2 linked regions of the Drosophila melanogaster genome follow. The protein of the gene in region 1 interacts with the protein of each later gene in a pairwise test. Each region holds a gene or a part of one and is shown on either strand. Other genes may lie near its edges. The genes, in order: Hem and Abi.

Evidence for each region.
Region 2: the proteins of Hem (region 1) and Abi interact in a two-hybrid assay, tested with the Drosophila melanogaster proteins (2 studies listed by BioGRID).

Annotation. Positions count from the first base shown.
Region 1 is NT_037436.4:22,283,779-22,290,192, reverse strand, and holds Hem (HEM-protein), read left to right. Parts: upstream 1-1,997; 5' UTR 1,998-2,205; coding exon 2,206-3,385; intron 3,386-3,450; coding exon 3,451-5,651; 3' UTR 5,652-5,839; downstream 5,840-6,414. Other genes in the region: IleRS (Isoleucyl-tRNA synthetase), read right to left, coding at 1-1,189, 1,254-1,396. UniProt on the Drosophila melanogaster protein: Plays a role during growth of the oocyte.
Region 2 is NT_033777.3:14,118,510-14,124,146, reverse strand, and holds Abi (abelson interacting protein), read left to right. Parts: upstream 1-1,726; 5' UTR 1,727-1,869; intron 1,870-1,897; exon of another isoform or gene 1,898-2,034; 5' UTR 2,035-2,045; coding exon 2,046-2,401; intron 2,402-2,677; coding exon 2,678-3,300; intron 3,301-3,361; coding exon 3,362-3,452; intron 3,453-3,524; coding exon 3,525-3,536; intron 3,537-3,674; coding exon 3,675-3,862; intron 3,863-3,918; coding exon 3,919-4,082; 3' UTR 4,083-4,885; downstream 4,886-5,637. Other genes in the region: twf (twinfilin), read right to left, coding at 1-112, 397-1,172, 1,274-1,351, 1,411-1,435.

The sequences.
Region 1 (6,414 bases):
CCAGTACGTTTGGGAACTGCAATCAAGCAGGTTTTTAGACATGTGCTCGACGCGCACAAACCAGGAAGGAACCGCCTTATAGATAAGAGGCGTGTCTGACCGCCAGCAGAATGGGTAGCTATGCTTCACCTGGCCACTGGAAACCAAGTTTCCTCGTGCCTTCAGCGCGGCCATTATTTGCTTATCAGAATCTTTGACGTATTGGCCCTCGAAATCGCTTGCCTCGTTAGTAAACCGTCCTGCCTCGTCCACTGGGCAGAGAACCTCACTGGACTTTGTGATGAGGCCCGCAGCGAGGCACACACGATAATCGTCTTCTCCGAAGTAGGGAGCATTGTGCACAATACCCGTACCGGAATCCTCAGTCACGTACTCGTCGACCAGGACACGATAAGCTTTCACCTCAGCTCCTCGCTTCGCAAAGTAAGGGAAAAGCGGCTTGTAGTGAAGGTCCTTAAGGGTTTTGCCAACAAACTTTTCCTTCACTTCGTACTCCGTCTCCGATTTGTACACGTAAGAGAGACGAGACTCTGCGAGAACAAAAAGTCGGTCGCTCTTTACGTCGCGCACTTTTACATAGGTCATCGTCGGATGAACACAGCATGCGAAGTTTGAGGGCAGTGTCCATGGCGTGGTGGTCCACACTAGGAAGAAGGTATTGGGCAACGAAACGGCCTCCAGTGCAACTACTACGCAAGGGTCCACAACCTCCTTGTAGTTTTGGTTGGCCTCGAAGTTCGAAAGGGACGTTGTGCAGGCGGTGGAATAGGGCATCACCTTAACGCCCTGGTAGACCAGACCCTTGTCGAACAGTTGCTTGAAGATCCACCAAATGGACTCCATGTACCATGGGTACAACGTCTTGTAATCGTTCTTGAAGTCAATCCAGCGACCCACGCGCGTCACCACATTCTCCCACTCATCTGCGTAACGCATGACAATCTTCCGGCACTCGGCATTGTAGGCTGCGATTCCCATCTTGGCCACGTCCTCAGGACCCTTGATATTCAGCAGCTTGTCAATCTCGAACTCCACGGGCAGTCCGTGGCAATCCCAGCCGAAGCGACGGTCCACATGGTATCCCTGCTGGTATGCGTACCGTGTGACGATGTCCTTGATGGTGCCAGCAAGAATGTGTCCGTAGTGGGGCAGCCCGGTTGCAAAGGGCGGTCCATCGTAGAACGTGTATCTTGGAGGTGGAAAATTAGCACAAAATTTGGCGATCGGCTGATGCAATCGTATGCGGCACTTACTTGGGCTTTCCCTTCGACAGCTGGCTGCACTTTTCAAAGATATTTTCGTGTCGCCATTTCTGCAGTACGTTCTCCTCCTCGGCCGGGAAATTAATGTTCTCTGGCACCCGACACACGTCGTTCCGCTCTAGTTTTTTTCCCATGGCTGTCAAAGTTCACTGTTGTATTATTTATCAAGTAACAGAGCTTATTCGCCCACCTTTTATATCAGAAATTCAACTGACTTGCGGCGTTTTTGCGTGGCACACAACGTGCCCGAGGTACGGAACTAGTGGTTCATTAATCGCTCTCTAGCTCATGGGTTCGCGATATCGATAGTAGGTTCCGATGAGCGGCATCCTTGATAATCAGCTGACGACAGCACTGAAAAAAAAAGAAAGGCTTATTTACTATTAACAACTTTAATAAATTTGTTAGCCATAAGAATAAAAAACTGAACTGTAAGTTACTAAGTAAGAAAGCCATTGGCAATTGAATGAATAAACTATGCAATAGTTTTGAAAGCAATTATTCCTGACTTAGACAAATAATTCTAATAAATTAAAACCCCAAATACCAGCTATTATTAATTTGTAGTATAACCAAATTACTGTAATATATAATTATAAAAAAATTATCTTAAATTATATTAAGCCATATGTTTTTTTTCTCAGCAGTATATTTTCTTTTTAACAATCAATAGTTTAGCATATATATGGTAGCTATCGTTATCGATAGCAATATATCTTTGCTATCAGCCCATTGGTCATCACTAACGCGAAAACAAGAGGAAGAGTAATGTGTACACTTTTGTGTCGCTCCTTTTCGGCCAATTTAACAAACGAAAAAGTATAAGTACTGGGCAAATCAGCACTTGCACGCCTCCCAATACGTCTCGCCAGCGCACACCTGTGTTCTGGGCTCCACCGGAAACTCGCCTTCAGCCATTCGACGTCGCCAACAGTCATCGGATATGGCACGCCCAATTTTTCCGAACCAGCAGAAGATAGCTGAGAAACTAATCATCTTGAATGACCGCGGCCTGGGCATTCTTACGCGGATATACAACATCAAGAAAGCATGCGGCGACACCAAGTCGAAGCCAGGCTTCCTCTCCGAGAAGTCGTTGGAATCGAGCATCAAGTTTATCGTGAAGCGGTTCCCCAACATCGACGTCAAAGGGCTCAATGCTATTGTAAACATCAAAGCGGAGATTATTAAGTCGCTGTCCCTGTATTACCACACATTCGTGGACCTACTTGATTTCAAGGACAATGTATGCGAACTGCTCACCACGATGGACGCCTGCCAGATTCACCTGGACATCACATTGAACTTCGAGCTGACCAAATATTATCTGGACTTGGTTGTGACCTACGTGTCCTTGATGATTGTTTTGTCTAGGGTCGAGGACCGCAAGGCAGTTCTGGGCTTGTACAATGCCGCCTACGAGCTGCAAAACAATCAGGCGGACACGGGCTTCCCCCGCTTGGGGCAGATGATTCTGGACTACGAGGTCCCCTTAAAAAAGTTGGCCGAGGAATTCATTCCCCACCAGCGCCTGCTAACCAGTGCGTTGCGGTCGCTGACCTCCATCTATGCACTGCGAAACCTGCCAGCAGACAAGTGGAGGGAAATGCAAAAGTTGAGTCTGGTAGGCAATCCGGCCATTCTTCTTAAGGCCGTCCGCACTGACACCATGTCCTGCGAGTACATATCCCTGGAGGCAATGGACCGCTGGATAATCTTTGGCTTGCTGCTGAACCATCAAATGCTCGGACAGTACCCGGAAGTCAACAAAATCTGGCTCTCCGCCCTGGAGTCAAGCTGGGTTGTGGCCTTGTTCCGCGACGAGGTCCTGCAAATTCATCAATACATTCAGGCTACTTTCGACGGAATTAAAGGTTACAGCAAGCGGATCGGAGAAGTAAAGGAAGCCTACAACACGGCGGTTCAAAAAGCTGCTTTAATGCATCGGGAGCGGCGCAAGTTTCTTCGAACAGCCTTGAAGGAGCTAGCTCTTATTATGACCGACCAACCAGGCCTCCTGGGACCTAAGGCAATATTCATTTTCATCGGTCTTTGTCTTGCGCGCGATGAGATTCTATGGCTCCTCAGGCATAATGACAACCCACCTCTTCTCAAAAATAAAGGTTAGTTAAGGATTTTCTTACGATTAAATTAAAATTTGTGAACCTTAACTATTTTAAATTTATAGGAAAGAGCAATGAAGATCTTGTAGACCGACAGCTGCCGGAGCTCTTATTCCACATGGAGGAACTCCGCGCTCTTGTGCGTAAATACAGCCAGGTAATGCAGCGATATTACGTGCAATACTTGTCCGGATTCGATGCCACGGATCTTAATATTCGAATGCAAAGTCTGCAAATGTGTCCAGAAGACGAAAGCATAATCTTCAGTTCGCTCTACAACACGGCTGCAGCCCTGACAGTTAAGCAGGTGGAAGACAACGAACTCTTTTATTTCCGACCATTCCGCCTGGACTGGTTCCGCCTCCAAACGTACATGAGTGTGGGAAAGGCTGCACTTAGGATCGCAGAGCATGCAGAGCTGGCCCGCCTACTGGATTCAATGGTTTTCCACACTAGGGTGGTAGATAACTTGGACGAAATACTAGTAGAAACCTCGGATCTCAGTATCTTCTGTTTCTATAACAAAATGTTTGACGACCAATTCCACATGTGCTTGGAGTTTCCCGCGCAGAACCGCTACATCATAGCGTTTCCCTTAATCTGCAGCCACTTCCAAAATTGTACGCACGAAATGTGCCCGGAGGAGCGACACCATATACGTGAAAGGTCTCTCAGCGTGGTAAATATATTTCTTGAGGAAATGGCTAAGGAGGCTAAAAACATTATAACCACAATTTGCGATGAGCAGTGCACAATGGCAGACGCTCTATTGCCAAAACACTGTGCTAAGATTCTTTCCGTACAATCTGCTCGTAAGAAGAAGGACAAATCGAAGTCTAAGCATTTTGACGACATACGAAAGCCGGGAGACGAGTCGTACCGAAAGACACGAGAGGATCTGACGACGATGGACAAGTTGCACATGGCCCTGACGGAGCTTTGTTTTGCAATCAATTATTGCCCCACGGTCAACGTTTGGGAGTTTGCTTTTGCCCCTCGCGAGTATCTCTGTCAGAACCTGGAACACCGCTTTTCCCGGGATCTTGTTGGCATGGTGATGTTCAACCAGGAGACAATGGAGATAGCCAAGCCCTCGGAGCTGCTGGCCAGCGTTCGAGCCTACATGAACGTGCTGCAGACAGTAGAGAACTACGTGCACATAGACATAACACGAGTTTTCAACAACTGCCTGTTGCAGCAAACACAGGCTTTAGACTCTCATGGCGAGAAAACCATTGCCGCTTTGTACAACACCTGGTACAGTGAGGTTCTGCTAAGGCGTGTCTCCGCTGGCAACATTGTGTTCTCCATTAACCAAAAGGCTTTTGTTCCCATTTCGCCCGAGGGCTGGGTACCATTTAACCCGCAGGAATTCTCTGATCTCAACGAGCTGCGAGCACTTGCAGAACTTGTGGGACCTTACGGTATCAAAACATTGAACGAAACACTTATGTGGCACATAGCAAACCAGGTGCAAGAGTTGAAGTCGCTGGTGAGCACCAACAAGGAAGTGCTCATTACACTGCGAACCAGTTTTGACAAACCTGAAGTGATGAAGGAGCAATTTAAGCGCTTACAGGACGTGGACCGCGTGCTGCAACGCATGACGATCATTGGTGTGATCATATGTTTCCGCAACCTGGTGCATGAAGCCCTCGTTGATGTGCTGGACAAGCGCATACCCTTCCTGCTTAGCTCAGTGAAGGACTTTCAGGAACATTTGCCCGGAGGCGACCAAATTAGGGTTGCTTCCGAGATGGCCTCAGCAGCGGGTCTGCTATGCAAGGTAGACCCCACATTAGCAACTACACTGAAATCAAAAAAGCCAGAATTCGATGAGGGTGAGCACCTCACTGCCTGTCTACTGATGGTCTTTGTGGCAGTGTCTATACCAAAACTGGCCCGTAACGAAAATTCCTTCTACAGAGCCACAATTGATGGCCACTCAAATAACACGCACTGCATGGCGGCGGCCATTAATAACATCTTCGGAGCCCTGTTTACCATCTGCGGTCAAAGTGACATGGAGGACCGCATGAAAGAGTTCCTTGCTCTGGCCAGTTCTTCCCTACTGCGCTTGGGCCAGGAGTCCGACAAAGAGGCGACACGGAACCGAGAGTCCATCTATTTGCTGCTGGACGAAATCGTCAAACAATCGCCCTTCCTCACAATGGATCTGCTTGAGTCCTGCTTTCCCTACGTGCTTATACGCAACGCGTACCATGGCGTATACAAGCAGGAACAGATCTTAGGGCTGGCACTCTAAATGGAGCCGATCTGTGTATTCCACATAATGCTTATGTAGTTTATCCGCCGATCGACTATCGATCACTATGCTAATCTAACATACTTTAAAACTGTTAAACATACCCAAATGTATTCTAGACTCTGCATTTTTATACTCGTACGACTTCGAATAAAGTGCTTATACAACCCAAATAAGTATCCCACATTAATAAGCTGTCTCTAGATCGGATCGGTATGTATATTCTTTATTTCGGCTTATTGAAATATGTGTCCACTCCCGCGAACGTGCAGCTCCTCCGCTTCAATTTCTGTTAAATTTCATTTGGACACATGCGCACACGTGTGTGTATATTAAATATGAGTTTGGGGGAAAAATCTTCCGCAATATTAAATTATTTGGTCACGTTCAATGTTACTTTGTAGGCTTGTGTACAAATACTTGTAGGCAAGTAGTAAAATATGTTTTCGTTATTTTGTAATATGATTTCTCAGTAGTTATCATTGGTAGTATTTAAATTTCGATTTTGAGTTTTCAATTCCGATACAAAGACTTTTATGCAATGATTTATTATTGTTTTTAATTCTTTTTGAATTACATGATCTGGGATAGGTTCTTTTTCACGGATGGTTAAATGATAAGTTTTGCAAACCGAAATCGGGTAAGTAGGGCATCTTTTCAAATCTGCTCGTAATCAACATAGGCCTAAACATCTACAAATGGGTTCGGTTAAATGTACCAAAATCACTACACTCTGCTAAAAAGCTGTCAATATTTGAGTTTA
Region 2 (5,637 bases), on another chromosome or scaffold:
GGTTTGGTGGCCCCTTGGGCTTGGCAAAAGCCGGTCGGTGTAGAATCTTCTTTGGGTGCAGCTCGTCCTGCAAGAAGGCTTCGGTCAGCTCGCTGCCGCTGTCGATTTCAAGCTGAAATGTAAAACGTTGTTAGAAACATGAATCAGATTTAGTATGATTTAAAATTACTCATTATTTATGATTTACAGATTTCTATTTCAAGTGAAAAGTGAGACATTCGCCCTAATTATGATTCAAAATATTTCTAGAGATCGTGAATCAAAAGTATAGTGAATGTGGCGATTTGAAAGCAATAAATAAATCACAAACAATATATACCCTGCTTTTGCTTTTTATAGCCCTAATCTTTAGTGCTATTAGCGCAGCCACACCCACTCGCATTCATATCAACTCACCTTCTTAACAACCTCCACGCCAAGGGCCGCGAGCTCGTCGAGAAAAGGAGCCTTACAGCTTGAGTACATCATGCGCTCGCGCACGGAGCAGGAATATCCAGGCATGGAGTAGACGAACACGTACGACTCAAAGTAGTCGCCCTCGTGCGTGTGCCGAAACAGGAAGAGGTGGTATCGTGCATGATCCTCGGGCACTTGCTTCGGCAGATCGGCGAGCTCCACTTTGGCCGCACGCGAAACATGGATCTGTTCCTCCTCCAGATCGATGCGGAACTGAAGGTAGTCGTGCTTGCCGCGCACCAAATCCTGAACGGCAGCCACGGTTGCCTCGCTCAGCGGGCAATTGATCCCACCCAGAGTTTGGTGCCGCGTATTCGTATTGATCTCAGTGTGAACCTCTGTCTTTCGCAGCTCTTTCAGCTCCTCCTCCCTGCTGGTCAATGGAGCTGGGGCTGCGAAATCCTGCTTGTGCCGGCGATAGCCCTCCAGCGTGCACTCATCCAGAGTGGTGGCATGCAGCTCCTCTGTGATGTATGCTGATCCGAACTCCGTTTTCAACGTGGCCTTCGTGGAAGCGTATACCATCTTCTGTCGGATGCTGGCCGTGTCCGGCGTCCAGCTGATAAGTAGCCAACTGTAGCCCAGCGGGATCTTGGCGTCCAGGCGATAGAGAATATAGCAGGGCACATCCTTTTCCAGTAGGGGACCTATAAGCTTGTCGTAGTCGCGCTCCCAATCCTTTTTCGTCTCCGCCGTGGCGCCGCAACTAAGCTGCTCTGTAATTTGGGGCGGGGTGAAAACGGATGCGGGTTCGTTATCAAATCGTATGCCTAGTATATATCTTGTGTATATACGTTTCTGGATTAAATCCACTCACCATTCTCGATCGAAACTTTTATCACGCGAAATTTACCATTCTTCGCTTTGCCGAACACCTTGGCCAGCTGCTCGTTGGCTGAAAATACAAAGGGTGTTCTAAGGATGCGGATTAGGTGGTTCCCAAAGATAACAAACCTCGGATACCCGTTTGGTGAGACATTTGGACAACAGCTAAAATTAATATTGCCGAAAAAATATATTACTCACAACCAGTGTGACCGCAAAGCGCGAGTAGGGAAATACTAAACCGGGAAATATGTACCGATTCTGATTGGCAATCACTTCAAAGCGGCTTTAAATGTGTAAAAAAAAAAGAATTATTAATTAAAAAGATACTGTAATGCTATTTTTATAACTAAATTTTGGGAAAATTTTTAACACTCTGTTTTATAGAACATACATTTCAAAAATAATACCAAATGTGTCTGCACTGATACAGTGTTGAAAAATTCTTCAAGCTCCAGTACTTTGCAGCACAGGCCAGCGTTCTTTCTTTTTTCACGGAAAATGTAATGAAAAACTGCATTTAACTGCATTTAAAACGTAGCAACTAGCCCGGAAAAGCATCTGTTGTGCAATCGCATAGTCAATAAAGTGAGTGCACGCGAGATTCGTCCGATTAAACCGCTCCAGCGATCAACTGGAGCAGCTGGGCGTCGACGTCGGCAGAGGCCAGCCCACGCCCCAAATGTTTACGGGCGTGAAAAGTGCGGAAAAGCGAGGAATTTAATTGGGTTTTCGTTTCCCGTTTGCCCGCAGCATCCACACCCATGTTGACCGAAACCCCCATGGCCAGCGAGAACATCATGGACGAACTAGCCTCTCTGATACGCACCGAGATCCCCGATGGCCGCCAGAGTCTGCGGGACAGCTACACGAACCTGGAGCGGGTGGCCGACTACTGCGAGGACACCTACTACCGCGCGGACAACAAGAAGGCGGCCCTGGAGGCCACCAAGAACTACACCACCCAGTCGCTGGCCAGCGTGGCCTACCAGATTAACACGCTCGCCTATAGCTACATGCAGCTCCTCGAGCTTCAGGCCCAGCAGCTCGGCGAGATGGAGTCCCAGATGAACCACATCGCCCAGACGGTGCATATCCACAAGGAGAAGGTGGCCAGGAGGTAAGAACAACAAATTGCTTAAACTAGAATAGGAAAAGGGGATATGCATATTTTAAAACGACAAAGAATACGGAATGAACATTTTTGTCTGTAAGTACGACTCATCGGTGATAAAAGCTTCATAGAGAAGAAATGTACATTCATACATGCGTCGTCAGACGTGCTGATAAGACTGAACGTCTCTTTCTTCATTCTTTTCCTACATAACTATTTAGTTTTTTCAATTCACTTTATTTGTATTAATTATTTTTGATTATCTTCATTGTCTTTTCTCAGAGAGATTGGCGTGCTTACGGCTAACAAGGTGAGCTCGCGCCAGTTTAAGATCGTGGCGCCCATCAATCCGGAGAAGCCCATCAAGTATGTGCGCAAGCCCATCGACTACTCGATGTTGGACGAGATTGGCCACGGCATTAACTCGGCCCAGCACTCGCAGGTGCGACAGAAACATCGGGGCTCCAGCCATGGGTCCGTGCAATCCTTATTGCCGCCGTCGGTGGGACCTCCGCCAACCACGAAGCCCCCAACTCCGCCGCAGATGTCGCGAGCTGGGAACACTGGCACACTGGGCAAGTCGGTCAGCAATACCGGGACACTGGGCAAGAGTTCGCGGGAGTACCGCACTCCGCCTGTGGTCAATCCACCACAGGTGCCATCGCACTACGCTCCCAACTATCCTATTGGGCATCCAAAGCGAATGTCGACGGCTTCTTCAACGATGACTACCACCACCACAGGCGGCGGAGCGGCGGGCAATGAACGAGCTGCTGGCTACAGTGCACTTCCGATGCCACCCAGCCAGCAGATAGCCACACATGTAAACCTGCCCTCCGCGGGCATGATGCAATCGCTGCCACCACCGCCGCCCACTACGTACGACGATCGCAGCAGCATGCCACGTGAGTTAATTTGATTATTCTGCAATAGCTCAATACTAATAATGCGGTTTGCAATTCGTAGCAGCTCCTCCTTCACCACTTACGGTTTCGCAGCACGAGATGACCGAGCAGAGTCACATTGGCATGCACACTTTGGGACGCAATATCAACAGGTAAGTTTCTGGAAAATGCAATCCCTTCTTTGTGTAAATATAACCTATTTATTGTTCTCTGTGCAAATCCAGGAATCCAAATAGGTAAATTGCATGTTTCTCTGTTTATCATAGGGTTATACTCAGCTAAAAAAAGTTATACTAGGTTTTCGTGTTTGTACTGTGTATAACTCCATGAAATTCATATGTTATCTTGTATATTAAACGCGTATTTTTCCAAAGGAATCACTTCAGCTTGAACTTCGCTCGTCCCGGCTCACAGTCGCCTCCCTTGCCACCTCCGCCGCCGCCGGAGGATGAGCATCAAGACTTCGGACGACCACGCACATCGACGGGACCGCAGCTGGCGCCCATAGTGCCCGAGGATCAGAACTTACCCGGCTGGGTGCCCAAGAACTTCATTGAGAAGGGTAGGCTGATTGGAGCAACTAACAATATACCTTACTAATTCTTACAAACATTCCAGTGGTAGCCATTTACGACTACTATGCCGACAAGGACGACGAGCTGAGCTTCCAGGAAAGCTCAGTGCTGTACGTGCTCAAGAAAAACGACGACGGCTGGTGGGAGGGCGTCATGGATGGTGTTACCGGTCTGTTTCCGGGCAACTACGTAGAGCCTTGTGTCTAAGCCTCGCATCGATATTCTAAACATGCCAACCATTACAATAATCTGCATCATCTGGTCTGTTCCAGTCCTCTGCTGCTTCTCAAGAGCTCCAAAAAATTTCAATTCAGTTATCGGAGAGTTAGACTGAGGACCGCAACAGACTCAGCTGACAATGACGATAAGATTTTGAGCATATTAATAAGGACAATTATACAATTACACACCTACACAAGCACAGCAGGCCAGAGAAAGCGAATTCCATTAGCATCAGCCAACCGCATTTAGTCTAATATAAACGAGCACACAAACACACAGAATCCACGGGCTAGGGATACCGCTTGCTGCCCAACTAAAACTATTTACACTTTAGTAGCCGAAAACGATGCAAGAAGGGGAAAGTGAAACCGGATACCCGTGAATAACTTATGCGATATTATAAAACTGTTCCACAACCGTAGACGAATTCTGTCCTGCTCCTGCCGCCAATCCAAATACTTTAAATATTTGCTCACAGTTTTATCAAGCGATTTCTGTTTGCCTTGCGCTTTGATATGCCCGGCTATTATACACCAATACTACCCGAACCTATGCCCCCAGCAATACTGTAGGTTATATAAATTTCAGTTAGCATTTAATACTTAAGTATTGGCCAGTTGGAACTTTTGTTTATACTTTTACGAACCGCAACGATGTCTTTTTTTTGCGAACGTTTAGTTAAAATGGAATTGCCAGCAAAGGAATCAAATTAAATTAAACAATACAAGTACACATACGCTCTATATGGTAAAAATAATAGCTAATAAAAATTTCAATTACTAAACCGCAAGCCCTTGTTCTATGACCGTGTAATTTGCGCTGACCTTCTCGTGAGTCGAGCCCCGGATGTCAGTAAAAATCCGTAATTGGGGCAAGGCTCTGTGGCCTGCCAAATTCAAATTCGAAATCTCAAATGCAAATTTCAAGTCGTGTGATGGAAGGCTTGAAATATTTGCAAATGCCAACACTCATTGGGGTCATTCAGTCAGTCAATCAATCCATTATAATCGACACTTTGCTCTACAAACCGATTTCAATTCAATGTCTCGTCCCGGAAAACTTTTCCATAACTCGGCTCCGGGTAAATTAATGCTTTCGTGGTGATATGTGGAAGGTTTTTTACCCATTTGCTAAATTTATTATCAGGTTTCGAGGAGTTGACGTGGCGGAAATGCCAGAAAAAAGTGGAGTGCTGGCATGATTTGCATAAAATGTGCTAAATTGTTGCCCACTTTTTGGGCCCCTCAACTATACATACATAAATATGGAAATACCTTTATTTGTGAACAATTATTGGAGTGGACCTGAACAGCTTGAAGACGGACTCTTTGAACGACTACTTTAACCCACAACTGGCCAGCGGCAGGTGGAACCCGCCAGGAATGTATGCAAAATGGCGCATTAGCATTTGAACAATGCCATAGTAAAAAAACGTGGCAACAACAATAGTTGGTTGATTGTGCCGTGCCAGGAGTCGAAACACCGCCCACCCAGCAGGCACCCAACCTGGAATCCATTCCAAACCCCCTGGACATGCCTA